4 linked regions of the Rhinolophus ferrumequinum genome follow. The protein of the gene in region 1 binds, or shares a complex with, the protein of each later gene. Links are inferred from orthologs where the notes say so. Each region holds a gene or a part of one and is shown on either strand. Other genes may lie near its edges. The genes, in order: ERCC2, GTF2E2, GTF2F1 and POLR2F.

Region 1 (7,155 bases):
ATGTATAACTATGTAAGGTGACAGATATTAACTAGACTTATTGCAGTAATCATTTTGAAATGTATACAAATATCTAATTATTATGTTGTACACCTGAAACTAGTATGTCAATTATACCTCAATAAATACAAAACATTAAGCCTTGAAGATTCTTTAGCTTGTAGATAAAGGATAACTGCTTTACTTTTAAGATGCTCAACCACCCAGGACCCTGGCAAGGTCTAAGAATAAAAGGAGGTTCTGATTGCACAGTATGAGAACCCACGGTCGCCCTTGCCCTGCTCTGTCCCCTCCAAGTCTCTGTTGGTGGTATCATCACAGCCCCGGGCTGCCTGCCCTCAGAACAAAACCTTCTCCTTCCCCAAAGGGAAGGCTCAAGGCTGCCGTCCCTTCCTTCTCCTTTTCCCATTCCATCAGTCACCAAGGCCTATGCTACTTCTCTTTAATTATTATCCATCATACGTATTATTTCTCATATATTCTTACAAATAATGTTATAGAATATATATTCCATGAGTTACCACACATCAAGTGCTTAGAACAGTGCCTGGTGCACAGTGAGCCCAGTGGCTTTTTAACATAATTCAAAAATAACAAATATTCTATGTGTGATAGATCTATTAATATCGTGGCAGTTTCTAATACCTTTTAGTTCTTTGTACATGCTAAGGGTACACATGCATTAGCTCACCCAATCTTATCAACAACTGTACGAAGCAGGTACTTATTTATCCCCATTTTACAGAAAGGAAGACCGAGGCCAAGACTGCAGAAATCTCCTCTCCAAGAGTACATAACTAGTAAGTTACAAAGCCAGGAAACTAGGCCTGCCAGCCTCCAGGAACTGCCTTTTTAACCTCTCCCAGGCTGGGGGAAAGTAGGAGGGCTCCCCAGTGGTATCCGCGCCTCAGCCATGAAAAGATGAGTTGGAATTTTACATGTGAGGAGAGAATTCTATGCGTGGCCCCTGCGTATCCCCCGAGAGGTCTAGTCTGAAGATCTAAAACTCCTGGTTGAATGTAAGAGTTTTCTCAACCCTGGGGCTTTGGGTGAGGGGAGGAATGGGCACTCACCTCAGGATGAATACACAAGTTCTTTCGGGAGCTCAGAGCCAGCCCCAAAAACGACAGCTTCTCGCCTTCCTGTTTCTCATAGAAGTTGAGCAACTTTCGAAGCTCCTCAATCACCTGTGCCAGAAGAGAAGGGAGGGGGAACTCAGCCTCACTGAAAGCACAAGCCCCTGCCCAACCAGGCCCCAGCCTCCCAAACACCACCCCCAAGCTGCGATGGCAACCACAGGGGGACCAGCGAAGTCCGGGGAGAGTGAGGAAGCACCGGCATTGGCTCTAGCTCACCTTCTCAATCTCAGGCACAGTCCTCGAGCAGTAGATGAGTTTAGTCACCTCCAGTGGATATGCCTGCGGACAACAAAGGGTTCAGCCCATCCAGCCCTTTCCCTCCTCCCCTTCCACAGGCCCAGTGGGTCACTTACCCGCTGGTACGCCATGATCAGGGCCAACAGGGACACTGTCTTCCCAGTGCCTGAGGGCATTTCCAGGACTCCATGGCCCTGTGTGTTGGGATAAGACATAGGCTCTCACAACTCCCTCCAGAATGCCACCATCTTGAAATGGCAGGCCAGCACAGCAATTAAATTTGGGCCCCAGGGGCAGTGGGTCTGAACCCTTCTTTGCTGGGTGGTCTTAGGCAAGTGCCTTCACCTCTCTGGCCTCAGTATCCTCATCTCTAAAATAGGCCTAATAAGCTTTTTTCATAGCATGATTATGAGGATTAATGAAAAACTGGGGGTTAAATATTTGGCATAGTACCTGATATACAGTGAGCCCTTTTTCTTTTAATGTAGCAAACAAACAACTTCACACTTCCTCTGTGCCTGGCAGTATTTCTAAGAGTCTTACATCAGGGTTTGTGAAATTCAGCTTTATTTATATTTTGGAGCCGAATAATACTTGGTTGTGGAGGGGCTGTCCTGTGCACTGCAGAATGTTTAGCAGCATCTGTGGCTTCAAAACATTGTATGCCAGGTAGCACCCCCACTCCACTAGTATGCCAACCAGGAATGTCTCTAGGCACTGCCAATGTCCTCTGGGAGTCAAAATCACCCCCAGGTGACAACTGCGACCTTACTTAGTGAATTAACTCATATAACCCTCACATTAACCTCTGACTTAGGTACTATTAAGACGCCGATTTTGGAACAGGGAGATTAAGTGATTTTCCCAAGGGGGCACACAGCTGTGGGTCCAGAATCCCAACCCAGGTAGCTGAGTCCAAAATCTACATATTCCCAGCCACAGAGTAGCTCAAGCTTTGATAAAAGCCAGCTACTGCTATTATTAACTTATTTTTGTTTCTTTTTGTTTTCTTCCGTTTATTAACTATTATTATTTTAGGTACTAGGAAGTTTTGGAGTGCTGGCTCCCCAAGGACCTCTAATTTCTAATCTAGACCTCCTGCAATCTCAGTCTCAGCCGCCTGCGTGGAAGCCCCACCTGTCAGGTGGGTAACGGCGGACGGGGCCCACGCACCTTGGCGTCCAGCGTGCGTTTGAGCTCCAGCATGTAGGAGAACTGCTCGGGGTAGATGTAGTCGTACGGGAAGTAGACCAGCAGCCCGTCCACGTTGAGCCTGGCCGCAGGGGCCGTCGGGTCAGTCCCGGGTCCCCTAAGCCCTTCTTCAACCCCCACACTCCCCTGCCGCCGGGCCGAGGGAGGTTACCTGCCAGGCACCGGCCTGCGGGTCCCCCCGGATACACCCCCGTTCCCCAGGAACCTCTGGGTCTCCTCGTTATCTCCTCGCTGCCCATTCCCGTTACCGTACCGTGGGTCCCCGCGGCTATCCCCTCCCCATCCCTTCAGCCTCCCCTCGCCCCGCGGGGGCCCCGGGCGCGCCCACCGGTCCCCCCATCTTCCAAGTCCCCACGCCCAACCCCCCTCTCACTTCATGGCGATGGCCGGGGCGAGAAGCGGCACCGACCCGCCCCCTCATGAATATTTAGTGCGGCAGGATCCGTGGGGCGTCCTCAAGGGGCCGCTGCACCTTCCTCACGACGCCACTGGCGGATCCCTCCCGTCACTCTACTGGGGTAGAGCCAATCAGGATAATGCGCATGCGCACGGCAATACGAGGGCGGGCTCGCCGGGAGAGGCGTCGCTGAGGATCGCCGAAGACCAAGAACAAAACATGGAAGAAAGAGAACCGAGAGAATCGATCCCATTCATTAGGATGCGGTCTTCTTCATCTGCTCAGATTATTTGTGTAGCGAAGAAAGTCTAGGGGAAAAGAACAGGAAAATTGGGGACCTCTTCGGGGCTTACTAATTAGGAATTGCTTCGCTGCACCAGACAAACATGCACTCTTTTTTTTTTTTTAATTGGGGAAGGGGAACAGGACTTCATTGGGGAACAGTGTGTACTTCCAGGACTTTTTTTTTTTTCCAAGTCAAGTTGTTGTCCTTTCAGTCTTAGTTGTGGAGGGCGCAGCTCAGCTCCAGGTCCAGTTGCCAGTTGCTAGTTGCAGGGGGCGGAGCCCACCATCCGTTTCCGGCCGCCAGGAGTTGAACAGGCAACCTTGTGGTCAAACATGCACTTTTAAAATGCCTGCTGTGTCCTAGACTTCTCTGGGTTAAATAACTCCTCTTATTTATTGAGCTCCAACTGTTTGCCAGATGTATTTTAATCAAGCAGTAATGAAAAGGCACTGTGGTTAGGTGGTTAAGGTATGGATTCTGGAACCAGAATGCCTGGGCCCAAATCCTGGCTCCACTGTCTACTAGCTGTGTGACCTTGATCAAATTACTTAACTTCTCTGGGGTTCCATTTGCTCTCCTGCAAAGTAGAACAATTAGATTATCTACAATGTAGATGACGCTTAAACTAACCCACATAAAGCAGTTAAAACTGGACTCAGCACGTACTAAGCATTCAAAAAATGTTAGCTTTTATGTGTTTGTTCGACAAATAGCTATGGTGTGTCTACAGTGTGCCTGACCCTATGCTAGGCCCTGGTTGTCACTTTCTTCATAATCGCCTCATTTTCATTCATTCAATCATTCATTCATTCAATCATCATATATTCCCCGACCCCTGTTCTGTGCATGCTCTGTACTGGGTGTTTAAAAGCACACAGCAGTGACCCAGCCATGCCCTCTAGGGTCTCACATTCCAGTGACTTTCTCCAGACAGTGAAAACCCAGAGTGGGCAGGCAGGTCCAGGACGCAGCACCTGACCTAGCTGTAAAGCCTTTGGCAAGTTTTCTCTGAGACTCAGTCCTTCACCTCTAAAGTGGAGATGATGATACTGACATCAACAAATGACATTTATTATATAGTCATACAAATGAGAATATACTTCCAGAGTTAGACAAAGGCTCTGAAAATAGGTACTGGGGGACTAGAACTCATAAGGATGGTGATGGTAGGGGTGGATGTTGAGCCAGTTAATGAAGTCACCGACTTAACCCTGAGCCTTAACCAAAGGAACACTCAGTGGGAACAGCTACATACACAGAGATGCTCCTTGCAACACCATGGACACGGAAAACAAACTGGGAAGAGCAAACACCGTTTACGTTGGATGGTTGGGAGTAAGCTATGGTGATGCCTTCCGTTTAGGAATTTGCACACCTCACAGTATATTCCTGCCCCATCTCGCTGCTTATTTTTCTGCTTTCTACTTGCCTCCAGTAGTGGCCTCTTTGTCTGCAGCTTAGTCTCCCTTATCTTGTCCTGCCTCACTCCTACTGCTCACCTTTAGGTCTCAAAGAAACATCCCCTCCTCCAGGAAGCCCTCTCTGCCCCCAGGCTGGATCAGGCACCCTCTCTGGGCCCCCCATCTGAGCCCTGGTTACTCTGTTAAAGTGGGGGGGAGGGACGGAGGGAGGGTGTGTTCAAGAATATAATAAAATGAAATTGAGTATTGAACACATACTACTATTGGACAGGTACTGTCCTAAGCATCCTGTCACCTGTCTGACATCATTTCTCACTGTCTTCTTTCTTATCCATTTCTCCCAGTCACACCTGGCTTCCTGGCACTAGGCCTGCTTTATTCAGCTAATCTGTGTAACAACTTATCCCCAAAAGTAATGGTTGAAAAAACAGCATTTATCATCTCACCGTTTCTGTAAGTCAGGAATTGAATGCAGCTTCAGTCATCCCAGCTCAACTAGAAAATGATCCACCACTAAGCTCACCGTGTGATTGTTGGCAGGATTTACTTCCTTGCTGGCTGTCATCTGAGAGCCACCCTCAGGTGCCTGGCACGTGGGCATCTCTGAGGGCAGCTGGTTTTATCAAAGCAAGAAGAGCCAGAGAAAGATGCAAAGATGGAAGTCACTGTCTTTTATAACCTAATGTCAGAGGGGACAGTCCATCACTTTTGCTGTGTTTCATTCTTTGGGATACATCATCACATGCAGCCCATGCTCAAGGGGAGGGGTTACTCCAGGATGTGAATACCAGGAGGCAAGATGGTTGGGAGAAGTCTTAGAATGACTGACTCCTGCCTCCTCCTGACCTTTGCAATTGCCCCTCCCTCTGGTTCTTTCCACAGATCTCTGCATGGCTTCCTCCCTCAAGCTTTTCTCAAAGGTCCTTTCTTCTCTGAGGCCTTCTTTGTTGTTTTTTTTGTTCTGTTTTTTTAAAACTTTTATTTATTTAAGTGTGTGTTTCCAGGACCCATCAGCTCCAAGTCACGTAGTTATTTCAATCTAGTTGTGGAGGGCGCAGCCCACAGTGGCCCATGGGGGGATCAAACCAGCAACCTTGTTGTTAAGAGCACTGCGCTCTAACCACCTGAGCTAACCGGCCGCCCCTCTGAGGCCTTCTTTAAATTGCAATACTCCCTAGGTATGCTGAATAATTGTCCCCAAAGATCTCCAGGCTCTGATCCCTGATACCGGTCAATGTTACTTTGTGTGGTAAAGGGTCTTTGTAGGTGTGATGAAGTTAAGGATCTTGAGATATCCAGGTGCTCCTTAACAGTAATCACAAGTGTCCTCATAAGAGAGAGATTAGAAAGAAACAGAAGCAATGTGACACTGAAGCAAGATGCTCCGCTGCAGGCTTTGAAGATAGAGCAAGGGGGCAGAGCCAAGGAATGCAAGGAATGCGGCTGTGGAAGCTGGAAAAGGCAAGGAAACAGATTCCCCCCTTAGTGATCCCGAGTTTGTGCAGCTCTGCCAACACTTTGATTTCAGCGCTGTGAAACTGAGTTGGACTTCTGATCTTCAGAAGTGTGAAAACATAAATGTGTGTTGTTTTAAGCCACTAAGTTTGGGGTCATTTGTTACAGCAGTGATAGGAAACTAGTACACATCACAATATGCCCCAATATAGTCATGTGATGTGTTTCAGCCAATGACCAACTGCATATACGACGGTGGTCCCATAAGATTATAATATCGTTGAAAAATCCCTATCGCCTAGTGATATCGTAGCCCTCCTAACGTCATAGAGCAACGACTTACTCAGGTGTGTGTGGTGATGCTGTGTAAACACCTACTGCACTGCCAGCTGTATAGGACAATTATGTACAGTACATAATACTTGATAATGATAATAAACAATTATGCTACTGGTTTATGTATTTACTATACTATACTTTTTATCATTATTTTAGAGTGTACTCCTATTTATTAAAAAAAAAAATAAAAGCGTGCTGTAAATAGTATGCTGTTAGGCCAGCAGCAGCCTCAGACATCTCGTTTACCGCATCTACTAATTGCACCATTTTCTCTGGTGCTTGATTTAATCTTGTGTTTTGTACAGTAACATACTGTGCAGGCTTATAGCCTGGGAGCAACAGGCTAACCATACAGTTAGGTGTGTGGTAGGCTGCACCATCGAGGTTTGTTTAAGCGCACTCTATGATGTTCGCACCATGATGACATCTAACGACAAATTTCTCAGATCATATCCTTGTTGTTAAGTGCTACAGATATAATGATGACCTCTCAGGAATCGCTGCAGGTTCATTCCATTGGAATAGAATCCAAATCTTTTAGGAGTTGATAAATTTTTAGGTAAGATGATGCATACATGGGAGATGTTTTTTCACTAATTTCTACTTTTGTAGAATTTGGAAAATTTTCAGAAATTTTTAATATAAATAGTATGTTCAGTTCACTGCTCA
Region 2 (7,037 bases), on another chromosome or scaffold:
AATTAATAACGAGATATTTTAGATTGATTACATGTTAATGTGATAATATTTTGGATATACTGGATTAAATACAACTAATTTCCCCTTTTTAACTTTTTAAAACACTATGGCCAGTAGAAAATTTTAAATTACACATGTGGCTCACACCTGCAGCTCACATTGTATCTCTACAATGCTGCTTAGAAACATCAGAACTACTGGGTAGAAATTAGGAGGCAGATTTAGGCTCATTGCAAAAAAAAAAAAAAAGAGAGAGACAGAACCATCAGAATTGCTTATAAATGAAAGGTGTATCTTAAAACTGGTGAACTCTCCAACATTATGTGATGAAGAGGCTGGATTAATATTTGGTAGAAATATCTACAGAAAATTCCTGATTTGGAGCGAGGTGGGACTAAACCTCTTCATGTTTTTTCTCAGTTCTAAAACTCTAAAATTGTGAGACACTTCAATACAACCAGGGAAGCCACAGATCATTCAACAAGTATTTTAAAACATTCCTCTCTTGTCTGAATCCTCTCAAGAATCCTATAGAGAGACTCTAGGAAGCATACAAGCTGACTATGCAAATGATTCGTGCACTGTTGAGACCAGTGTTCATAAGTCGGGAAGGAAGGTCCCAGAGGAAAAACACTATCTTACACTTTCAAAACCTTCAAGCACCGGGGTAGTTCAATAAATATTTGTTAAGTGAATAATGAACAGGGAAACATCTTTAAATTGCTCTAACTTCGTTGTTACTGCTTTCATGAGTCTTTATTAAATGTCTTCTGTTTGTGAGTCACTGTACTCCAAGCTTTGAAAGGTTCTAGAAGATAAATCCATGCTTTCAAGAAGTTTACATTTGAGAACATGAAAGCATTGAGCACCTCACTTAAAAAAATGAATGTGATTTAGCATGCTAAAAGTTAAAAATATAAGCACTGATAATAAATAATCAGAGTAAACCAGTTAAGTAAGAAAGGAAGAGTCACTGGCACTGGACCTCAAATCAAAGACGTTCTCCCTCTCAGTTCTAATCCCCAACAGTAACATGACCCTGGGCGATTCATAAACTCAGTTTTATTGTAAGTCAAATGAGGATACTACCAACGCTGTCTACATCTAGCCCAATTGTAAGAATAAAACGAGAAAGCGATTTTTCAAATAGTAAAACTATACAAATGTTATTTCAGTATTACTATTTTATTGGATCTGAAAAGAAATGAACAGAATGATTATACTGGGGTAAGGAAGATAGGAGACAGTCTTGGGGAGAGGGGCAGCGAGGGACAAGAGAATTCACAAGTGATACGGTGGGGGGCGACTAGCCCAAAACAGGAAACACCTGTTTATTTCACCTTGTAAAGACAAGGTAATTAACCCAGGCTTTTAATCATGATTTTAACATAACACATAAATAAAAGCCTTCCAGTTTACAAAGATCTAAATGCTTACAGCATTTGATCCTCACATCTCCAGTAGAAAATAGGTTATCTGTTTTATTTCTATTTTAATATGTGAAATCTGAAGTGAAGAGGTATGATTAGGGTCACACAGCAAGAAGTACTTGGACCAAATATCCTAACTCTAAAACACTCGAGGTCACGTTTTATTTATTCATTGCTTTTAAAGGAAGTGCTGGATGCTTTCATGTTCTCAAATGTAAGCTGCTTGAAGGCAAGGATTTATTTTCCAGAGCCTTTTAAAGCTTGAAGGCCTTTTCCAGCATTTCAGGTGTGGAGTAAGGAACACGTACTTGATTTAGGAGTCAGGATATTTGGATCCTGGTCCAGGTACTTTGGTTTAGAGATCTTCCTACTCCATGCTGGTCAAGGCGTCTAAAACCCAGGACAGGTAGGGGTAATGTTCAACGGCACCCAGAGCAGGCGGCTTCATGTCTACCTTTCACCATCGCATGTTCCGCCTAACTTTCCCTTCCTATTGTTAGAAGGCGACCGTACTCAGTATTTGTAGTTTTACATGCACTGACTAGTGTGGTAGACAGGACACATCACCCTGCCCTTGTACATTAAACAAACATCACAACTCAGGGAGTTCATGTGCCCACGTGTCACGGATGGACACTGAGAAGCAAAAATTAAGCCACAGTCTTCCGGCTCCAAAGCCCACGTTCTTCCCACCGTCTCATCCTACGGTACTTCTTTCAACCCTTCTACTTTCTTTTGCTTCTGTCCCTAACTAAGCCTCAGAGGTGCCACTGGCGAACAGCCGGCAAGGTAAGAAAAGAGACTGCTTACATCTTAAGTGACAGAATGCAAAGGTGGGAGAAAAATGTGCCACAGCGTTTTGTTTTGGAAAACGTCTTTGGACTTTACAGAAAACAATTATAACTAAAGTTTAGGAATCATTACAAACCAGGTCGCCACAAGGCAGCTTTAAAAAATAGTCCGTGAACGAGCCTCTAAATCACAGCCTTTTAGTCGGCTGGACATCGGTGGGTCCCCAAACTCCACACACATGGTTCGCTCGGCCACTGCCAAGGTAAACTTGGGGGCTACGAAGAGGCACCAGCAGCCACCCGACTGCGAATTTCCCTTTACAACCCAAAAGTTTGCTGAAAAAACCTCCGGCCTAAAAGACAATGCTCCCAACAAGTTGTTACTGTATTCCGCGTAGTAAACGGCACCCAGCCTCCCGAGGGGTGGAAGACACTCTCGCCCCTCGGGAGGAGGCGGTCTCCCCCGAGGAACAACAGGCCGGAGCTCCGCGCCCCTCACCCGGCGGCCGCAGCCCCTACCTGAGCGAGGTGGGCCGCCCCACGCGACCCGCCGCCGCCTCCCTGCGCCTCCGCCTCCGCCTCCGCCAGCCGCTGACGCCCGCTGGCCGCCGCTTTCTGCTCCTACTCAGCGCCCCCGTCTGCCCGCACGCACGCCCAGCGCCGCCCCGCCAGCTCCGGATCTCCGCACTGGCGGTAGCAGCGGCGGCTGCGGCCGCACCACTGACGACTCGGCCGGGTGCCCCGCCCGCCGCTTCCTGAACTAGCTAAGAGCTCAGTCCCGGCAGCCAACGGGGCATCTTCACAGCCTAGAACGCGCGTGCGTCATCACGCCCCCAGTTAGGGGTACCGCGGGAGGAACGGCAGCCAGCTAGGGCGTTCCGGATCTCCATAACAACGGGAGCAGGGCTGGGGGCGGGGTGGAGAACGGGACTTAGTAGGTGGGAGGCTGTTAGCAGCAGCTAAGATGGAAATCTTTCCTTTGCGGAAATTTAAAGCTACGAGAGCCTCCTCCAGCGTGCTCGGGAATCTCTTTAACCCACAGGGCGACGCAATTTTTCAAGTTATTGTCTACTAGGTATTTTGTGACTTTACCACAATTTTAACTTCCGAGAACATTCTTCTAGCTCTATTACAAATGAGGAAACAAGAGGCCCAGGGAAACGACTCAATGACTTGCTCAAAACAGCACAACTAGCAAAGGCAAATCCTGACGTGAAGCCCAGTTTCTGAACTCCAAACCGCAACACCTGTGAATAGTCTTAGAAAACGATTTCGGATTCAGAAGCAACAGAAAGGGGTAGGAATAAAGCAACGAGCGGTACCGTATATTGCCTTGTATAATGCGCACTTTTGGCTCAAATTTGAAGGAAAAATAAGGATGCGCGTTATACATGGGTAGTACTAATTCCATATTTATATCAACGTTCATTTATTTATGCTTATGAGTTAAAGGTGTAATTCTAGAAATCAATAACCACATCCGCATGCAAAATAGTACCCTGGAATACGATAATCGGTTTTGTTGAACTTATGACAACTTGCAAGGATAGAGTTCTTGGCCTTCTATGATGGGTAAATATTAGTTTGTACCGGTACATAAAATTTCTTATTGCTTGTATCTGTTCTTCTGTTTTGTAATTATTCCACAAAATTTCTTGTACCATGTTAAAAAAATAAATGCTGAAATTCCTTTATAATACGAAAAACAAGTACCTAAATGTAAACTAATAAAATTTTGAATTAAAAAAATTATAATGAGTTTTCCCTGAAAGTTTGGGCCAAAACCGTGGGTGCTCATTATACATGGCAAAATACGGTAATGGGCCTTGCCCAGTCTACAATGTATTGGAGTGTCAGATTTCTGCGATGTCCTTCCCTCACTTTTATAACCCAAAGCAGCAGTATAGCCTGTGCTCAGCTATTCTGTAGCTGTCTTTTAATTACTTAGTACTAGTTACTCAGGTTACTTAACCTGTGTTGGTTTTCTCATCAAGGAATAACTGTACTACAATGGGTTACTTGCATTAGACTGTTACAAAGATTAAATGAGATGACACATAAATTTTTATTCAAAACTTGGAAATAAAGCCAAAAGAGATTGTGCGACTTAAAAATTGTTTCATTCTAGAGGATTTTGTAATAAACTCACTTGATGTTCATGTAATACCGTCAGGAAATGTAACTTTGAGTAACAATTTAGTAGGGCCCAGAGGTTTTACAACCCAGTAAAGCCAGATATGAACTGGTAAAAAAACTGATGAGGTGTAATGGTGAGAAGGAGCAGACATCAAGTACAAAAATTAATCCCAAAGGTTAAAATTGCATTGTGCTGAGAAACATGAGCCAGTATTATATGAATTTATTAATTTTTATTTCATTGTTTCTTTACCTAGTGATTATATAAATTCCAGTTTTTCATATCCTTGTGGAAACGATTCTATCATTCTTCTGGTTACTTTACAATGAGTAAGAGACCTAATATACGAGGTGTGATCAAACAATACAGTGAATGTTTAAATTATTACAGTAAAAGATACATTGCCATTAATCCTCCTCAAAATATTCCATATCGCTTCAAACACACTTTGTCTCATCGTTCTTGCCACTTTCTGAAGCAGTTCTTGAAGTCCTCTTTCGTGTCTTTAGTTGCACTGTCGTGGCTGCTTTGATGTCCGGAATCATTTTGACTTTGGGGAAGAGCCAGAAGTCCCACGGTGCCAGATCTGGTGAATAAGGTAGATGGCGACACACCGTAATGTTTTTATTCAGAAATTGCCGTATATCAGAAGTGATGTGTGACACACAGCATTGTCATGGTGAAGGATGATTTAGGGCACACTTTAAAACACACCTTCTCTCAACCATAGCTCACACACCTGACTGCACCAAACAAGTCGAAACTTGTCGCACACTGTTACTAAGGTTTTACTTGCCACTTCTCATATTGAAGATCCCTGCCTTTCCGTTGGATGGCACTCGGCAGCAGCATTCACTATATTTTATGATCACAACAAAAAGGCTCTGTGTCACACATCGCTTCTGGTACAGTCATTTCTGTCAAATAAAAACTTTACAGTGTATCCTCATCCACCTTATTCACTGGATCTGGCACCGTGCGACTTCTGGCTCTTCCCCAAAGTCAAAATGACCATGAAAGGTAAATGTTTTGTATCAATTCTGGACATCGAGGCAGCCATGACAGTGCAACTAATGACACTCATTAAAGAGGACTTCCAGGACTGCTTCAGAAAGTGGCGAGAATGATGGGATGTGTTCAAAGCGAGTGGGAGTTATTTGAGGGGGATTAATGGCAATGTGTCTTTTACTGTGATCATTTTTTTTAATTTAAACATTCACTGTATTGTTTGATCATACCTTGTAGACACCACCTGGGCAGCCTCTAGCCAGAGCTTAGGGAAGGCATTGGATAAATATCCCACCTTAAGCTGTGAGACATAACTCTTTATAGGGATACGGCTACTTGTATGATATACACAGTCTCCACCACTGATGCTTAAACAAACCTTTATTATAATTTAACCACCTACATATTGGCATCTTTAGTATTTCAGGTCAGAAGGGTGTGGCTAGTGTCAAATTATATGAAGAATGATTCAAGCTACTAATGCAATAGCAATTATGTCTCATCTCATGAATGCTTATAATGCCCTGCATACTTTTTAGTAGAAAGCGTGGTGGCTTTTTGAGGGAAATATGTTTTCTATATTTTATAAAACATTCTTCTCTCATGACCAATCCAAACCCTCCCACCCAAAATACACAACTCAGTATAACCACAGGATTAATTCCAATACAGTGGATATTTTTCTACTATTTTATTTGTGGTAAAATCTATATAACATAATAAGATACAATTTATCATTTCAACCATTTTAAAGTGTACAACTTGGTGGCATTAGATTAATATTATGTAACCATCATCCCTATTCCCAAAATTTTTCATCATCCCAAACAGAAACTCTGTAACCATTAAGCAATAATTCCCCATTCCTTCCTCCCCACAGCCTCCTGTAACTTCTAATCTACTTTCTATCTCTACGACTTTGCCCTACTTCTAAATATTTTATTTAAGTGGAATAATACGATATTTGTCTTTTTGTGTCTGGCTTATTTCACTTGCAATGTTTTGAAGGTTCATCCATGTTGTAGCGTGTATCAGAACTTTTCTTTTTTATGTAGTGGCTTAATTTTATATTTTAATTTTTTTACATTACATAATTGTTTGGAAGAGGAAAACTGAGATAAAGTAAATAAATTTACTTCATTCTGCCATCAAGTAATAACTGCCTTTCAACTCTCCTCACCTCACAATCCATCTCAACGAACTAGATATGTAAATTCTCAAAACAGCTGACAAAGCAATTAGCCCACATCCACACAAACCAAGAGCTAAAATAAGTACTTTGCTCATCACCTGTCCTGGATTTCTCTAGCATTGATAGTGTTTCCTCCTTTGGAGTCTTTCCCCCTACTTTCTAATGCAGCCTGCCCCTCCTGAAACAATCTCCCTAGGACCCTGCTTCCTCTCTAGCATTCATCCCATAAGGGAGGAAAGAATTCTTTTTGAGAAAAACAAGTTATTAGCATGTGCACTGCACCTAGACATGAGAGTACCCAGTTATGGATAACTCAGAGGGATAGTTAGAATTTGGACTTATATAGTAGTATCTTAACAAAAGAACAGTAAATTTTTAAACAAATGCCAAGACCTTTTCTCCTAAACTCCAGCTTTTAAACTTCCAGATCCCTAGTGGGGCCACAAACTCAACATGTCCTAAACTTTGCACCTGCCCCC
Region 3 (7,045 bases), on another chromosome or scaffold:
CCTGTGTTGCCAAGTCAGGCAATTTTTAAATTTTTTTTTTTTTATTGGGGAATATTGGGGAACAGTGTTTCTTCAGGGCCCATCAGCTCCAAGTCGCGGTCCCTCAATCTAGTCTTTGTCTTTCAATCCAGTTGTGGAGGGTGTAGCTCGGCTCCAAGTCCAGTCCCCATTTTCAGTCTTTAGTTGCAGGGGGTGCAGCCCACCATCCCATGTAGGAATTGAACCGGTAACCTTGCTGTTGAGAGCTCACACTCTAACCAACTGAGCCATCCGGCCGCCCCAGGCAATTATCAAGAGAAGTTGGGAGTTTTGATGTGGCATCTCCCGAGTTTTGAAAGTGGGCCACTCATTTAAAATTAAAAAAAAGGGTCAAACACTCTAGAGACAAAACTGAACACATTGGTGGATCGAATAGGGCCTGAGGGCTGGGAGTTTGTAGCCTCCGTTCTGAGACTTTGTGGCCATTTGTGGCGTCCATTCAGCTGGCATTTATGACTGGGTGCTTACTTTAGGGCAGGCACTGGCCCAGGGCTGGCGAGGGCAGAGGAGTCCACTAGCCCAGCCTTTCCCCTCAGAGCTCCCAGGCCGGGAGAGGGAGCCCATCACTTACCCTTTGACTTCGTCACAATGAGCCCCACAGAAATGCTTCAATGGAGGTGCGAACAAAGGGCAGGGCCCCACCCAACAGGGGACAGCTGTCCCAAGCTGGGTGACCTTTGTTTGATTCCCACCTGGTCTTTTTTGCTAGATTCTTCTTCTGGAATCTAGCAAGTTCCAGAAAAACCTGGAGGCCTACAGCCTGCCTCAATTTCTCTTTTCCTGCTCAGCCATTTTCAAATGCTCCAGTCCTTGCTGTTCAGGTGCCCGGATGCGCCTTTTCATAAAGTCAGCGTGGCTGACCTGTAAAAATAACCTGAAGAAATTCATTCCAACTTGTCCAGCACCGGCTGGCTCCTCCCTCATCTCTCAGCTAGCTCTCCAATATCCCCCCTTCAAGGGGCCATCTGAACCACCCAAACTGAAGTAGTGTCCCTCCAGGGTGTCATTCTGTCTTCTGTTCTTCACTACACTTATCGCTAGGAGAAATTTCTGTTTAGTTTTACACATGATGTATCTCTCTGTTTTTTGGCATCCTAAGAGCAAGGACCAAGCCTATCTCACGAATGCCCGAGTTCAGAGTCTGTCTTCATGGACTATTTGGGGAATAAATAGATGGACGAAGAATTATATTCCATTTTTATGGCCCAGAGATGCTGCTAAACACCCGTGCTACTCAGTGGGCAGGCACTGTGCAGGGAAATACTAAAATGACTTTGTCTTTGCCCTCAGAGAACTCTCTAGCTCTTCACCTGGGTTCTAGAAGCTTCCAACAACCTGACTCTTCCTTGATAATACAAAACTCCATTTCCCTCTGTTCATCTCCTCTCCCCTGAGTCTCAGCCCTTCTGATCTCCATCGTAGGAAGGGAGGGGGGAACAGCTCCACGCCTTACACCCTAACACCCTCACACAGTTTTGGGTCACTCACAATGCGCTCGAATTCCTTAGCTTGAATCAGCTCCCGAGGGAAGCCATCGATGAGGAAGCCCCGGCTCTCTGGGCAGGACAGCATTTTGTCATTGATCATATCTAGGATGATACCCTGGGAAGGAAAGGGGTGATGGGTCATTGTCCATAGGCCCTCACCTATGAGGTCACCTTGGCAAGTTGTCTTTCTCAGTCTGGACCTCTGATGAATTTGGGAAACACCTGCCCACCACCCAAGATTCCGAGTCTGCCCAATGCCCTGGGGCCTCCACAAGCTCTTACAAGAAGTAGGTACAGCGGCTGTCTACTGGACAGGCATCTACTGTGTGCCAGGCTGGCTGGGCCTCATTTGCTCATCACAGTCACCTTACAGGTAGGTACTGGAGTGACCTTATTCTGTGGGTGAGGAAATAGGTACAGAGGAGCCAATGATATATGTGCCCAGGGTCACAAAGGGAAAAAATACTAGCTAATTTTATTGAGTGCTTCATAAGTACCAGGAACTCTGCCAAGTGTTTTATAGGAATGATGTCATCCAAAGCTCACCACAGACTCTTGCTGTGGGTCTAGCTGCTCTCCCATTTTACAGATGGGGACACAGAGGTTCAGGGCAGCCAAACAGTGGCAAGGAGGGGAGCCACAGCCTTCCAGGCCCATCAGCTTCCACAGGGCCTTTCCGGGAAGTTCGTCCCCACGTAGCCCCTTCTTCCCTCCACCCCTGCACCCATGAGCTCTCACCGTGGGCACCAGGAGCCCCCGTAGCATGATTTCACGAATCTTCTGGCCCCGCCGGGTACCGCGTTGGGCCTCCTGCCGCAGCAGCTGGCCCAGCCCCACATGGCAGAAGCCATACTTTGTCGCCATGTTCTTGCACTGCGTGCCTTTGCCACAGCCTGGCCCACCCATCACAAAGATGATCAGGGGGGACTTGAGCATCTCTGCGGTGACCAGGGAAGAAAGAGGGAGACGCATTGGTGCCGGTAGGGGTCAGTGGGCACTGATGCGATTGTGTCCACAGCTTAGTGCATATACTGGACACAGTCCTGCTGGCATACCCACTTTTGCCTTAGGGTGGCATCTGAGAGTGTGTCCTGGCCCATTGGTGTATCCAGGCATGGCATGCGTTAGTGCTGCTGTGGGTTCAGTGGATGGTGTAAACCTGAGCAGGCTAGGCCCTTGTACACAGCATCTCCTGGAGGTGTCACAATGACTCTAACATCCCAATTTACAGTTCAAGAAACTGAGGCTCAGACAGGGGCAGGTCCATCCCCCAGACGCATTCCATACCACCCTCCCCTTCCTTCACTCCGGTCCAGCCCCCAGTGGTGGCCTGGACTCCTTTCTGTCCCTTGAACTTGCCAAGCTCATTCCCCCCTCAACTTTTCCCTAACTTCTAGGAAATCCCTGCCCCAGTGCCTTCAGGTTGCAGCTCACCCATCATCATCCCCTGTGTCAGAACCCAATTTCCTCCACAGCAAAGGCCACGATCAGTAATGACTTTGTGTACTTTTTCTTCTTTGTCTCCCTGCCAGACTGTACTCCATGAGGACAAGGACTATTTCTGTCTCACTTGTGCCTATATTTCTATATTTCTAGTAATTTACAGTTCCTGACATATAGTAGAGGGTGAGGACTAAGTGAGTGTCCACGACTACCGGCCATGTCTACGGGGTGCTGTAGTTTATGGTGGAATTTTGGTGTCTTGCTTCCCTCCACCTTTGCTTAGCCAACTTGTATGCATCCTGCTGGGCCCAGCTTAAATTTCCCCTCTTCCTTGAGCCCTTAGAGCCAGCTGTGCTTTTCCTGTAGTATTTCCTGAATTGTAGACACCGTTTTCTGAGATCGTCTCCTGCACTATACTGTAATCTCCAAGGGGACAGGGAGCTGGTTTGGCACAGTCACTATGGAGTGCCCAGAATCCAGCACAGCAACCGCTCAAGTCGATTAATGAATGGCTGATCTGTGAGCATGCGCAGTTGTATTACTACTATGGGGGGGCCACACCTGGACAAGTGGGATGGGGTACTTGTACCTTCCTCTTGCCCTCCACAGCCTCCTTCCCTTTCCCCCAGTAAGCCAGCCATCCCGCGATATTACCCTTCTCCTTGGGTCTCAGGGGCCTGCCCGTTTTGGGCAGCTTGGACTTGAACAGACCCATCCTGCCAACGACCCGTGGGGTGGTCGCGCCCCATCCCCGCTCAGGCCCTGATCTCTCCTGGCTCGGCTCAACGTCACAAGGGCACCTGTCCCAACCATTTAGCAAGATCATGGGGTGTCCGCGGAGCAGGGGGAGCAAATGAACCCCAAAAAGGTTCAGATGGAGTCGCGGCGTCTCAACGCGTCAGAGAAGGCCTCGGTTGCTATGGTGACGCGGCCTCCTTGGACTCACTTCCGGAGTGGAGCAGCGCAAGCGCAAGGCGCCGAGAGCCCGCGAGGGTGGATAGGTTTTCTCCGCTCCCAGGATGCCCCGCTGCCCTTGCGTGACGATCTCACGGGGAGGGCGTGCCCATATGTCATGATTAGATTAGCCGTCCTGTGTAAAGCGGTCATCCGGTGTGCGCGCGCTGGGGGCACTTAATTCAGACGCGGACTGCCTCGCCGCTCTGAAAGGGACCGGGAAACTAGGTGACAGCGCGTTGAAGGGCCCGGGGCAGAGGGGAAGTTGCCATCGTGACGCGGCCTGCGGGAGAGTTTCGCTTTCACGTTAGTCGGCGGCGCAGGCGCAGACGTGTTAGCAGCGGCCGCTGAGGCGGAAAGCTGACTGAGCGCCGCTTTCGGGTAGCTTTTCCCTGGATCGGTGGCACCACGGACTTGGGGTCCTCGATCCTGGCCAGTGACCCGACACCACGAGGGCAACTTCCCCCGGACAGAGGGTCGCGGACCCTAGAAGAGACGAAAAGGACCCGGATCGGATCAGACCCTAACCGCTGACCCTTGCCCATGGCGGCCTTCGTAAGTATGTGGCGGGTTTCAGGAGACCCTGCGGCGGCTTCTGCAGCCCCTCACTCGGCCTCTCGCTTTCTCTGTCCGCAGGGCCCCGGCAGCCATAATATCACTGAGTATGTCGTTCGAGTTCCCAAGTAAGTCCCAAATCCCACCTCCCACCCCCCACCCCCCAAAAAAGGGATTAAAACCTTCCCAAGCCTCTAGGCGTTCCCGGCGCTGCTTGTGATTCCACCTCCTGAGTGGCAGCGACCTGAGGGCGGGGCTGGGTTTGAGCTGAGGCCTATCTATGGCATCATTGTTTTTTGAACAGAGTGATGGAAGGAATGAATGAATTCTTAGTGCGTTAATATGCAGTAGGATGCAGCCCCTGGCCTAGTATTTCCTCTGCCAGGAATACCTTTTTCCCAGCTGACAATGCTGCTGCATTCTTGTTGATCCCAAAAATCCAGTTCCAGTATTTTCCTCCTCCAGGAAGCATTCCCTGCTTGCCCTCCCTTCTTCTCTCCAGGGCTGAGTTCCAAATTATCCCCACATCTCGGGTTCCCCTAAATCGTTGTCTCTTCTATATGGGATTGGGAGTATGGATCTGGCTCCGCTGACTGACTGGGAACCTTTGGGGTGTATTAAAGGCTCCCATCATTGCCTGGCATGAAGGGCTGAACTGGGGAGAGTTTGTTGGATGGATTGATTGAGCACTGCCTCTTCTTGCCCATTCCAGAAATACAACCAAAAAATACAACATCATGGCCTTCAATGCAGCCGATAAAGTCAACTTCGCTACTTGGAATCAAGTAAGTCCCTGTTCCAAAAGGGGTTAGAACTTGATCCTGGACTCGGTGGTTATAATAGTTGCTTAGTTGTAATAGTATCTAAGGCTTAGTTTTCTCAGCACTCCCCCAGTGCCGAAAAATGATGAATAGGGCCCGGGCTGAGCTGCTGGGCATCACTTTGAATAAGATTTGTTAGGCCCTGCAGGAGGCCTTCTGAAAGGAGAATATTTAGGGGTTGTGCCCACTGATGGGCATTTTGGGCCTAGATTTATCTGGGCAAGGGAAGGGGAGACAACCTGTAGATGAGCTCAGAGCCCCCGTTGTCAGAAGCTCTGGAAAGGGCTTTGGAAACTGTCTCAGTCCATTGGGGCTGCTCTGACAGAACACCATAGACTGGGTGGCTTATAAATAATAATAGACATTTATTACTCATAGTTCTGGAGACTGGAAGTCCAAGAGCAAGGCCCCAGCAGATTCGGTGTCTGGTGAAACCCACTTTCTGGTTGATAGACAGCAGTCTTCTCGCTCACCGTCCTCTCAGAAGGGGCGAGAGAACTCTGGGGTCTTTTTTTTTTTTTTTTAAGGACACTCATCTAATTCACCAGGTCTCCACCCTCATGACCTAGTCACCTCCCAAAGGCCCCACCCTTACATACCATCCCACTTGAGAGTTAGGTTTCAACGTATGCATTTTGTGGCGGAGACACACAAACTTTCGGTCTGCAGCAAAAACCACTAAGGGTTTGAAACAGGGTGTTGTAAAGTGATCTCTGTGGGGTTGAGGCAGATGAAGCAGGGTTGAGGCGATAGCTCTGGTCATGGTGAGCGATGATGGTCTCGAGGCAAACAAGAAGAGAAGCGATTGAATGATGGTGTGTTTTGGAAGTGGAGCCAACAGCGTTTGTTGATGGATTGGATATGGAGGGGTGAGCGCCAGGGCAGAATTATAGACATGCATTTCAAAATAATTTCTACTGCTAAATTGCCCAGAGATCGAAATTTGGAAAACCTCAGCCTTTAATGGCATCTGAATTCACGGGGCGGTCCAGAATCGAATGCAGAGAGAAGAGGGCCAGTTCCAAGCAGGTTGTTTTTCCTGACCAACCACAATGGTTTTACTTGTTGTTGTTTTTTAAACAAAATTTTTTTTTTAAAGATTTTTTTTATTGGGGAAGGGGAACAGGACTTTATTGGGGAACAGTGTGTACCTCCAGGACTTTTTCCCAAGTCAAGTTGTTGCCCTGTAAGTCTTAGCCGTGGAGGGTGCAGCTCAGCTCCAGGTCCAGTTGCCGTTGCTAGTTGCAGGGGGCGCAGCCCATCGTCCCCTGCAGGAGTCGAACCAGCAACCTTGTGGTTGAGAGGATGTACTCCAACCAACTGAGCTATTCAGGAGCTCAGCGGCAGCTCAGCTCAGCATGCCGTGTTCAATCTTAGTTGCAGGGGGTGCTGCCCACCATCCCTTGTGGGACTCGAGGAATTGAACTGGCAACCTTGTGGTTGAGAGCCCACTGGCCCATGTGGGAATCGAACCGGCAGCCTTTGGAGTTAGGAGCATGGAGCTCTAACCGCCTGAGCCACCGGGCCAGCCCCACTTGTTGTTTTTTTTAACTTACTTGGAAATAATTTCAAACTTTCAAAAGCTGCAAAAATAGACGTAGTATAAGAAAGGCTTGCCTGAATCCCTTCACTCACATTCACTGAGTGCCAACTTTCTCCCCCTGTTTGCCAAGCAGGAAGTTGGCTTGGAGTATCTGCAGCTCAGTCTGGGGGGGCGTATAGGGTGTTCTTGGGGGTGGGGACACA
Region 4 (7,130 bases), on another chromosome or scaffold:
TGGCCAGATCATGGAGAACTTTGTACGTCTTTTTGGCAATTCCTTTGAATGAGATGGGAAGCCACCAGATGAGGGTTCTAAATCGGAGACATCAGTTAACTTAAGATTTGAAAGGATCACTCTGGATACTCTGTTGAGAATATTTTGTAGAGGGCAACGGCAGAAGCAGAGAGACCATTTAGGAAGACCGAGGGTATCATGCAGGCAGGTAAGAGAGATGACTCTGGCAGCAGAAAGACAATCAGAGCAGACGGAAGGCAGGAAAACCAGGAACACAATTTCTGCAGTAATGTGGTTGTAAAGGAATAAAGATCTAAACCAGGCTGGTGCACTAGGAATGAAGAAATGGAACAGGGCTGAACTAAATGAAGGAGCCAGAATTGACGGGACAGGAATGGAAGGAGACCGGAAGGATGGAGAAAGAGGTTTCTGACACAGTGAATACGGGTACTCGAGAGTGTCCTGAAGAGAGAAAATTCAAAAAGAGGGGCTTTGGCTTCTAAGCCAAACGGGACTAAAAAAGTCGAGGGATCACTCTCCAGGAGACATAAAGCACTTCTTCTTCCATCAGTCACCCAAGACAGAAAGCCCTATTTTATTCATGAAGCTAGTAACCCACCCATCTAGTTGCTGAATCCAGAAACCTAGCGGTCATGTTTGTCATCTCCCACTTTCTCAGCCCCAAATCCAATCCATCAAAATATCTCTTCCATCTGTTTCCTTATCAATGGCCCTAGCAATGCACAAGTTCAAGCTGCAGGTCTCCCACCTGGCGGTCTGTGACAGTCCCCTAATTAATGTCTCTCTCTCATACTTGCTCCTCCCTGCTTCGCTCCTGAGGTCAGCATGCTCTTTCTAAAGTGTCAACTTTACATCATGCCACTCCCTGGTTCAAAACTTGTCAGTGGCTTCCTTCAACCTACAGTCTACAAAATCTTGCCTGATCTGGGCCCTTACCTCGCCAGCTTTATTCAAGGTCACTCTCCCCCTTGCTCCTATGCAGCCCCACGCTGCAGAGCACCTGGCACATAATAAACAATCAACACACAGTCGCTGAATGAATAAATGTGACATCTCACCCATCAGTGAACTAACTGCCTCAGAAACCACGGACTGTGGTCCAAGTGGACAAAAGCCTGCAGGCCCACCCTCTGGGGCTGTTGCGCTACCCAGGACTGGAACTCTGCCCACTCTAATGGGGGGTGGCTGGGGCAGGGCCTTTGGTCACAAACAGGAGGCAGATGCATTCAGGCAATGATCACTGGGCAGCCTGTTTGACAGCCTGGGCTGCAGGAGGGAGACTGAGACTACACACTGACCTCCTCGGCGTTCTCCAAGTCATCTAGCCCTTCATCCTCTTCCACGTCATCAAAGTCATCGCCGTCAAAACTGGACAAGAAGAAAGAGGCCAATTAGTCAGAGCACCACTTACTGGAATCCAAAAGGGCAGAGAGTGTCTCAGCCAACAGTTAGGAGGTGCTCCACAAACATCTACTTAATGAGTGAATCAAACTTCTGTTCCATTTTACTCCTTCGAATTCACCCCCATCAACCCCCAAAATTGGCTAGGACACATTCTTCATCACTGTCTCTTTTCTCTCTCTACGCTGCATCATTCTCATCAGCACAAACATTTTCCCCATCTTAAAAAAAAAACAAAACCTCTCTCCCCCCAGAGCCTTATTTCCATGCTCTGCTTGGGAACAAAAATCATGGAAGAGTTGTCCATCATCACTGTTTCCAATTCTTCTCTTTCCGTTCTGTCACAATTTCACTCCAAGAAGACCTCCATCTCCACGGCTCCATCAAAACCACTCCTTCTTTCAAGTCTGTGAATGATTTCCATGTTGCCAACCAATGGACTCTTCTTGTTCTCGTTTAGCTTGACTTTTCAGTGGCACGTTAGCCCACTCTCGCTCAGTACACCCTCCTCACTCGACTGCAAGGACACCTCCCTCTCTTGGTATTTCCCCCACCTCACTGGCTGCTCCTTCTCAGTGTCCTTTGCTCGTGTCTCTTCTTCTCCAACCCCAAGGAGTCCCTGTTGGAACGCTCTAACGCTCAGTCACCTCCCCTTCTCTACTGACACCCCCTGATGATGTCACCTGTTTCTCAGTTTTGACTAATATACTTATGCGGACCACTCCCCTATTTTAATCTTCAGAACAGACCTCTGCTCCCACCCCACACATCGGGAAATCTTTTTGGCGCCAGCTTCAAAATGAACTCAGAATTCAAAACCACTTCTCACTACCTCTACTACTAACACACTACCTTCTCTCGCCAGACGACTGCAACCTGCCCAGACCTTTCCCACCTGTCGCACCACTCCTCTGGAGTACTTCTACACAGTAAGTCCTCATTCAATGCCCACGATAGGTTCTGCGACTTTAAGCAAAACGATGCACGACGCAACCAATTTTACCATCGACTAACTGATAGCAACAGGTGGGATCCTACCGCATCTCATCAACGTTAGAAAACGGTATTCGAGGACCCGCTGTACTACGTACTTTTACTGCCTCATCTCACACGATCCTACGTTATCTGTCCCCTCTTCTAGAAGGGAGCACCTGGAGAGGAAGGGCTACGTCTAACACAGCGCAATATTCCCAATACAGGACCCGGAACCTGGCGCAGTGGAAGTTTTCTGAAAGACACCTTTTCCACTGATCCTCTCTGCCCCCTCGAGCCTGTGCCTTTTGTGTCCAGTCCCTGGCTACGCTCTTGGTTCCGCGCCCTTCCCTTCTCCGGCTCCGCGGGCCCCTTCAGCAGCCCCAGTCCCCTCGGATACGGTCCCTCCACGCCTGGCTCGTCAGCCTCCTTGGACTCAAACTCCCGCTTCACCCACCCCTTCCGAGGCTCCGCAAAGGCCACTTGGCTCCCGCACTCACTTGTCCTCATTGTCTGACATGACGCCGACGCAGCCGCGACTCGGCTCTGCGCCCCAGACCCGCACGGAGATCCGCGAACAGCGTGCCTCCCACCAGCCCCGCGACACGCGTCCTCTGCGCCTGCGCCGTGAACCAGAAGCAATCACTTCCGGTAGGCAGGACTGAGTAAATGTGCGCATGCGACGAGATGCATGCTCGTTACCATGGTAGCCAGAGCGTCCCGCTGCCGGCTCTAGACACAGCGATCTCAGTGTTTCTGCCGGGTCCCCGCGCGATGCCGCGGTAGAGCCGTGCTTTTGGGCTCCGGAGCCCAGCCACCGCTCTCTGTGAGGAGGGGTGCACCCAGCCGGCGTCTTACTTTAGGGTGAGGTTTCAATTTTGGGGTAACATCCTAGAGGCTTCATAGCAGGGTTTTATCTTGCAGTGATGATGAAAGAATCCAACCTGACTAAATTCCAACAGCTATCTAAAGGCCCTCTTCCTCCCCAAAGGCCTTCCCTGCCACAAGCAGCAGGTCAAGATGAGGTCTCCGTTCGTGTGTGTGTGTGTGTGTGTGTGTGTGTGTGTGTGTGTCGGTCTGTCTGTTTCGGGTGGGAGAGGAGGGCACTCGCAATAGTGACACGCGGCAACACGATTCTCCTGCAGCCGGACCTCGCTCCCAGACTTCGGTGGTGTTGGAAGGGCGGGGTGCAGGAGTAGAGACAGGGGGTATGTCATTGTGTGTTTTCCCTCCTTAGGGCCCTGCCATGGCTTCCCAGGAGAAGATGGAGGCAGTGACCAAAGGAACGGGGTTCTGGAGCTGCCCCAAGCAGGCCACTTATACCCCTGGGACCTGTGAGCTCCTGAGAGGTCAGTGCGCTTAAAGGAAAAGAGGGGTGGTAGCAGTTACCCTCCGTAACTCGGGTCTCCCCTTTTGACCTGTGGCTCAGCAATTGCTATTTTCATTTTACAGAAAGATTCAGGTCCTACAACTTGCAAGTGGCCAAAAGTCAAAGAACCAAGAATTTTAGAGTAGTTAACAATTGTACATCCCTTAGATCACACTTTCAGTTTCCCCTGGGAAGCTTTATCTCCCCCCACCAGGACCCACCACCACAGTGGAACCAACTGCGATGTGACCAAATACCTTTTTCTTCATTGGAATTAGCGCAACCTGTAGTCAAATATTTAGTATGTCCCATTGGATCAGTATCCACCTACCCCTCTAGCCAGTGAAATCCAATAGGGCTGGGATTGTTCCTTTTTTGGCTCACCATTACAGCTTCAGCCCCTGGCACATGGTTAATGCTTGGTCATTCATTCATTTATTCACTCACACAACAAAAAAAATTTTAAAAGCCCACTATGGGCTTTAGACATTGTTCTAGATGCTATGGATACAGCATTAAAAACAAAAACAAAAACAAACCAGCAAAACTTCTGGCTCTCATGGAGCTGATATCCTAGCAGGAGGGTGACAAGTAATAATAAGTAAAATGTGTAGAACTTAGATGGTGATGAGTGCTACAGAAAAAAATAAGACAGAAGAGGAAGAGAGGGAGTATTCAGGTGCAGGACGGGGGTAGGAGGTGATACAATTTTAAATTTCAGTGGGTGAGATGAAGGCTCAGCAGGCTTTACAAAAGTGCTTTATCTTGCAGTAATGATGGAGGAATCCAGACTGACTAAATTCCAACAGCGCCACATCATGGACACCATGAAAAGTAAGAGGCAGTCCACAGAGGCTTCCTGGGCAGAGGGATTCTGGGCCACGTTTTTCAAGCTCCTCCATATTAAGAGGTAGAGGACATCATTTTAAAAGACCAAAATAGTAGAGTGTAGTATTTCCGACCCTTGCATCTGGGGGATTGACCTTGAGGCGGCCTTTGTTTCTTCCCCCAGACACGGGTCCTGGCACCACAACCAGTCTCCTGCAGTTCTGCTCTAGCTGCCTTTCCCAAGAGATCACAGCCCAGGCGAGACTTCCTGTCCAGCCAAAATAGTCTCAAAACTGTCCTGTCTGCAATCTATCCCTCCCTGTTACACACATACCATAGGAGCTCTCCAGAGGAAAGGACTGTGGATGTGTCTCATTTGTCGTTTTATTCATTCATAGCTTAGCTAGCAGAAACAAGAAAACTGGCAGAATTCCAACTTAGGAAGATTATGCAGAGCCTTTCCATAGCTCACCTCTGACCACACATTACATTTTTTTTCTTCTTTTCTTTTTTTTTTTCTTTTTTGTTTTTTAAGGAGGACACAGCTCACAGTGGCCTATGCTGGGATCGAACCGGCAACCTTGGTGTTATTAGCATCACACTTTAACCAACTGAGCTAACCGGCCACCCCTACATTACTTATTTTTGAGGAAAACAAAAAAGTGGAAGTACGTGGGCACAATAGCCAGGGGCCCTCTAAGATCTTGAAAGCAACTTTGCTTTCTGAGATGTAACTGAATCAATCAATATTTAATGGAGCAGAACACAGACCTGTAAAGTTGCCTTTAAGAGAGAGAATACCAGAAGGTCCAACCCTGCCGAGTTTTACTTGAATCTACTGAAAGCTGTTGCCGTCTTTGAAGAAAGAATGTGCTTATCAGGAGGGCATTTGATCAATGACAGAAGCATAGGGAAGAGAGAGTCAGACATTGGCACCTGTTCAGCACTGGCTGAGGGAGGGAGGCTCCATCCGGCCAGGTCAGAAGTCAGATGTCCTTCCTTATTGTGGAAAAGTACAACTCAGGCTGCCTAGTGCCGTGACATATCTGAATCACAACTCAGTCTCCACGCTCAGCAATCTACTAATAAACTGGTGTCCCCTGTAGCATGACCACAAAGAGATTATGCTAGAAATTTCACTAAAAGTAAAACTAGCAGACCAAGGACTCCATCTGTCTTGTTCACCACGGTAGCCCCAGCACTTAGCTGCTCAAAATTTTTTTTTTTTTTTTTTTTAAGCTGCTCAATGTTTATTGAAGGACTGACTGCATTAGTGGTTAGGCCAACATGAGTAATTGGTTCACCTGGCAGTGTTATTCCCCTTAGAAGTTTTATTTTTTTAAATTGCCTCCAAGCATTGGTGTTGAGTCTGCTTTCTTCTAGAATCTTCTCTTTACTTCTCTTACCCAAATCCTACTGTTGTTTTGAGCCTTCGTTCAAATTCTGTTGCAAGCCATAAATTCCTCTCCTTCACCGGAACTCCCAGAATTACTCGGGCCATAAATATTTGCTGAAAACGGGCCAGAGGAAGAGGTAGCATTTGGCACTGGACAGACAGGAATAGGGAGTGGACGGAGCAGGAGGGACATTCTAGGAAGCACAGCATGTCTTCAGAAAAGGGAGATACGTAAAGCTGCGTGACCCCCAGGTACAGGATGGGAGAGGGAAAGGTCAGTGGGAAGTAACGGCAGCACCGTCCTTCCCGTTCCTCAGGGCAGACACCTCAGTCATCCTTGACGCCTCTTCCTCCCAGACCCCCCAGCTGACCCATCAGCAATCCTGTCCACTTGACGTTCAAACCACGTCCTGACTCTGACGGCCTCTGCCCTTGGCCCCCAACACGGCATTTTCAACAGCAACCAAAGGGATCATGTCACTCCTCTGCGCAAAACCCTCCGATGGCTCCCGACCTCACACAAAGTAAAAGCCAGTCTTTCCAGAGGCCTACAAGGCCCTGTACTTTGCTTGGTCCCCATGACCTCTGACCTCTACTCCCACCATGTGCCCCTTTGCTCACTCCATTCCTGGCACCCTGGCCTCCTGGCTGTTCCTCAAGACACGCCAGGCACATTCCCACGTGAGGGCCTTTGCTGTAGCTACTCCTTCCCTCTGCCTGGAATGCTGGCCCCTCATCACTTTTGGGCTTTTCTCAAATGTTACCCTCTTCGTGAGGCCTTCCCTGACTACCCTATTTAAGTGGTAAATCCTGCTGTGACACACTCTATGCTCCACCTTGGTATGGTCACCACCTAACATACTAATATATTGTACTTATTTTATCACCATCCGCACCCCAGATGCAGACACCATGAGGGCAAGACTTTGTCTTACCACTTTACCCGCAGTGTCCTGGGCCTGGCAACGAGTGGACGCTCATTACGTATTCGCTGGGTGGGTGACAGAAGGCTGGGAAGGGAGGAAAGGTAGGGGCCAGATCCAAACAGTGGGTGGGGCCTGCTCGGAGCTGGGCTTTACGGTGATGGACAGAGAGGGGCTGACACACTTGGCTGGCCTGGAGGAGAAGCCCAGGTCTGGCAGG

What was found.
Region 2: ERCC2 (region 1) and GTF2E2 share a complex: the UniProt entries of both Homo sapiens proteins name them as parts of the TBP-based Pol II pre-initiation complex. The link is inferred for Rhinolophus ferrumequinum from reciprocal best matches to the Homo sapiens genes ERCC2 and GTF2E2.
Region 3: ERCC2 (region 1) and GTF2F1 share a complex: the UniProt entries of both Homo sapiens proteins name them as parts of the TBP-based Pol II pre-initiation complex. The link is inferred for Rhinolophus ferrumequinum from reciprocal best matches to the Homo sapiens genes ERCC2 and GTF2F1.
Region 4: ERCC2 (region 1) and POLR2F share a complex: the UniProt entries of both Homo sapiens proteins name them as parts of the TBP-based Pol II pre-initiation complex. The link is inferred for Rhinolophus ferrumequinum from reciprocal best matches to the Homo sapiens genes ERCC2 and POLR2F.

The regions. Positions count from the first base shown.
Region 1 is NC_046298.1:41,745,435-41,752,589, forward strand, and holds the start of ERCC2 (general transcription and DNA repair factor IIH helicase subunit XPD), read right to left. Parts: upstream 3,002-7,155; 5' UTR 2,967-3,001; coding exon 2,962-2,966; intron 2,874-2,961; exon of another isoform or gene 2,740-2,873; intron 2,650-2,739; coding exon 2,550-2,649; intron 1,571-2,549; coding exon 1,493-1,570; intron 1,419-1,492; coding exon 1,356-1,418; intron 1,188-1,355; coding exon 1,074-1,187; intron 1-1,073. UniProt on the Homo sapiens protein: ATP-dependent 5'-3' DNA helicase. Component of the general transcription and DNA repair factor IIH (TFIIH) core complex, not absolutely essential for minimal transcription in vitro.
Region 2 is NC_046287.1:67,078,559-67,085,595, reverse strand, and holds the start of GTF2E2 (transcription initiation factor IIE subunit beta), read right to left. Parts: upstream 3,007-7,037; 5' UTR 2,741-3,006; intron 1-2,740. UniProt on the Homo sapiens protein: Recruits TFIIH to the initiation complex and stimulates the RNA polymerase II C-terminal domain kinase and DNA-dependent ATPase activities of TFIIH. Both TFIIH and TFIIE are required for promoter clearance by RNA polymerase.
Region 3 is NC_046301.1:57,927,449-57,934,493, forward strand, and holds the start of GTF2F1 (general transcription factor IIF subunit 1), read left to right. Parts: upstream 1-4,034; 5' UTR 4,035-4,229; exon of another isoform or gene 4,230-4,308; 5' UTR 4,309-4,466; coding exon 4,467-4,478; intron 4,479-4,559; coding exon 4,560-4,606; intron 4,607-5,101; exon of another isoform or gene 5,102-5,190; coding exon 5,191-5,263; intron 5,264-7,045. Other genes in the region: adenylate kinase isoenzyme 1, read right to left, coding at 1,528-1,641, 2,265-2,464, 3,624-3,795. UniProt on the Homo sapiens protein: TFIIF is a general transcription initiation factor that binds to RNA polymerase II and helps to recruit it to the initiation complex in collaboration with TFIIB. It promotes transcription elongation.
Region 4 is NC_046293.1:9,028,091-9,035,220, forward strand, and holds the start of POLR2F (DNA-directed RNA polymerases I, II, and III subunit RPABC2), read right to left. Parts: upstream 3,019-7,130; 5' UTR 2,915-3,018; coding exon 2,895-2,914; intron 1,390-2,894; coding exon 1,320-1,389; intron 1-1,319. Other genes in the region: C10H22orf23 (UPF0193 protein EVG1), read left to right, coding at 3,641-3,743, 4,535-4,597. UniProt on the Homo sapiens protein: DNA-dependent RNA polymerase catalyzes the transcription of DNA into RNA using the four ribonucleoside triphosphates as substrates.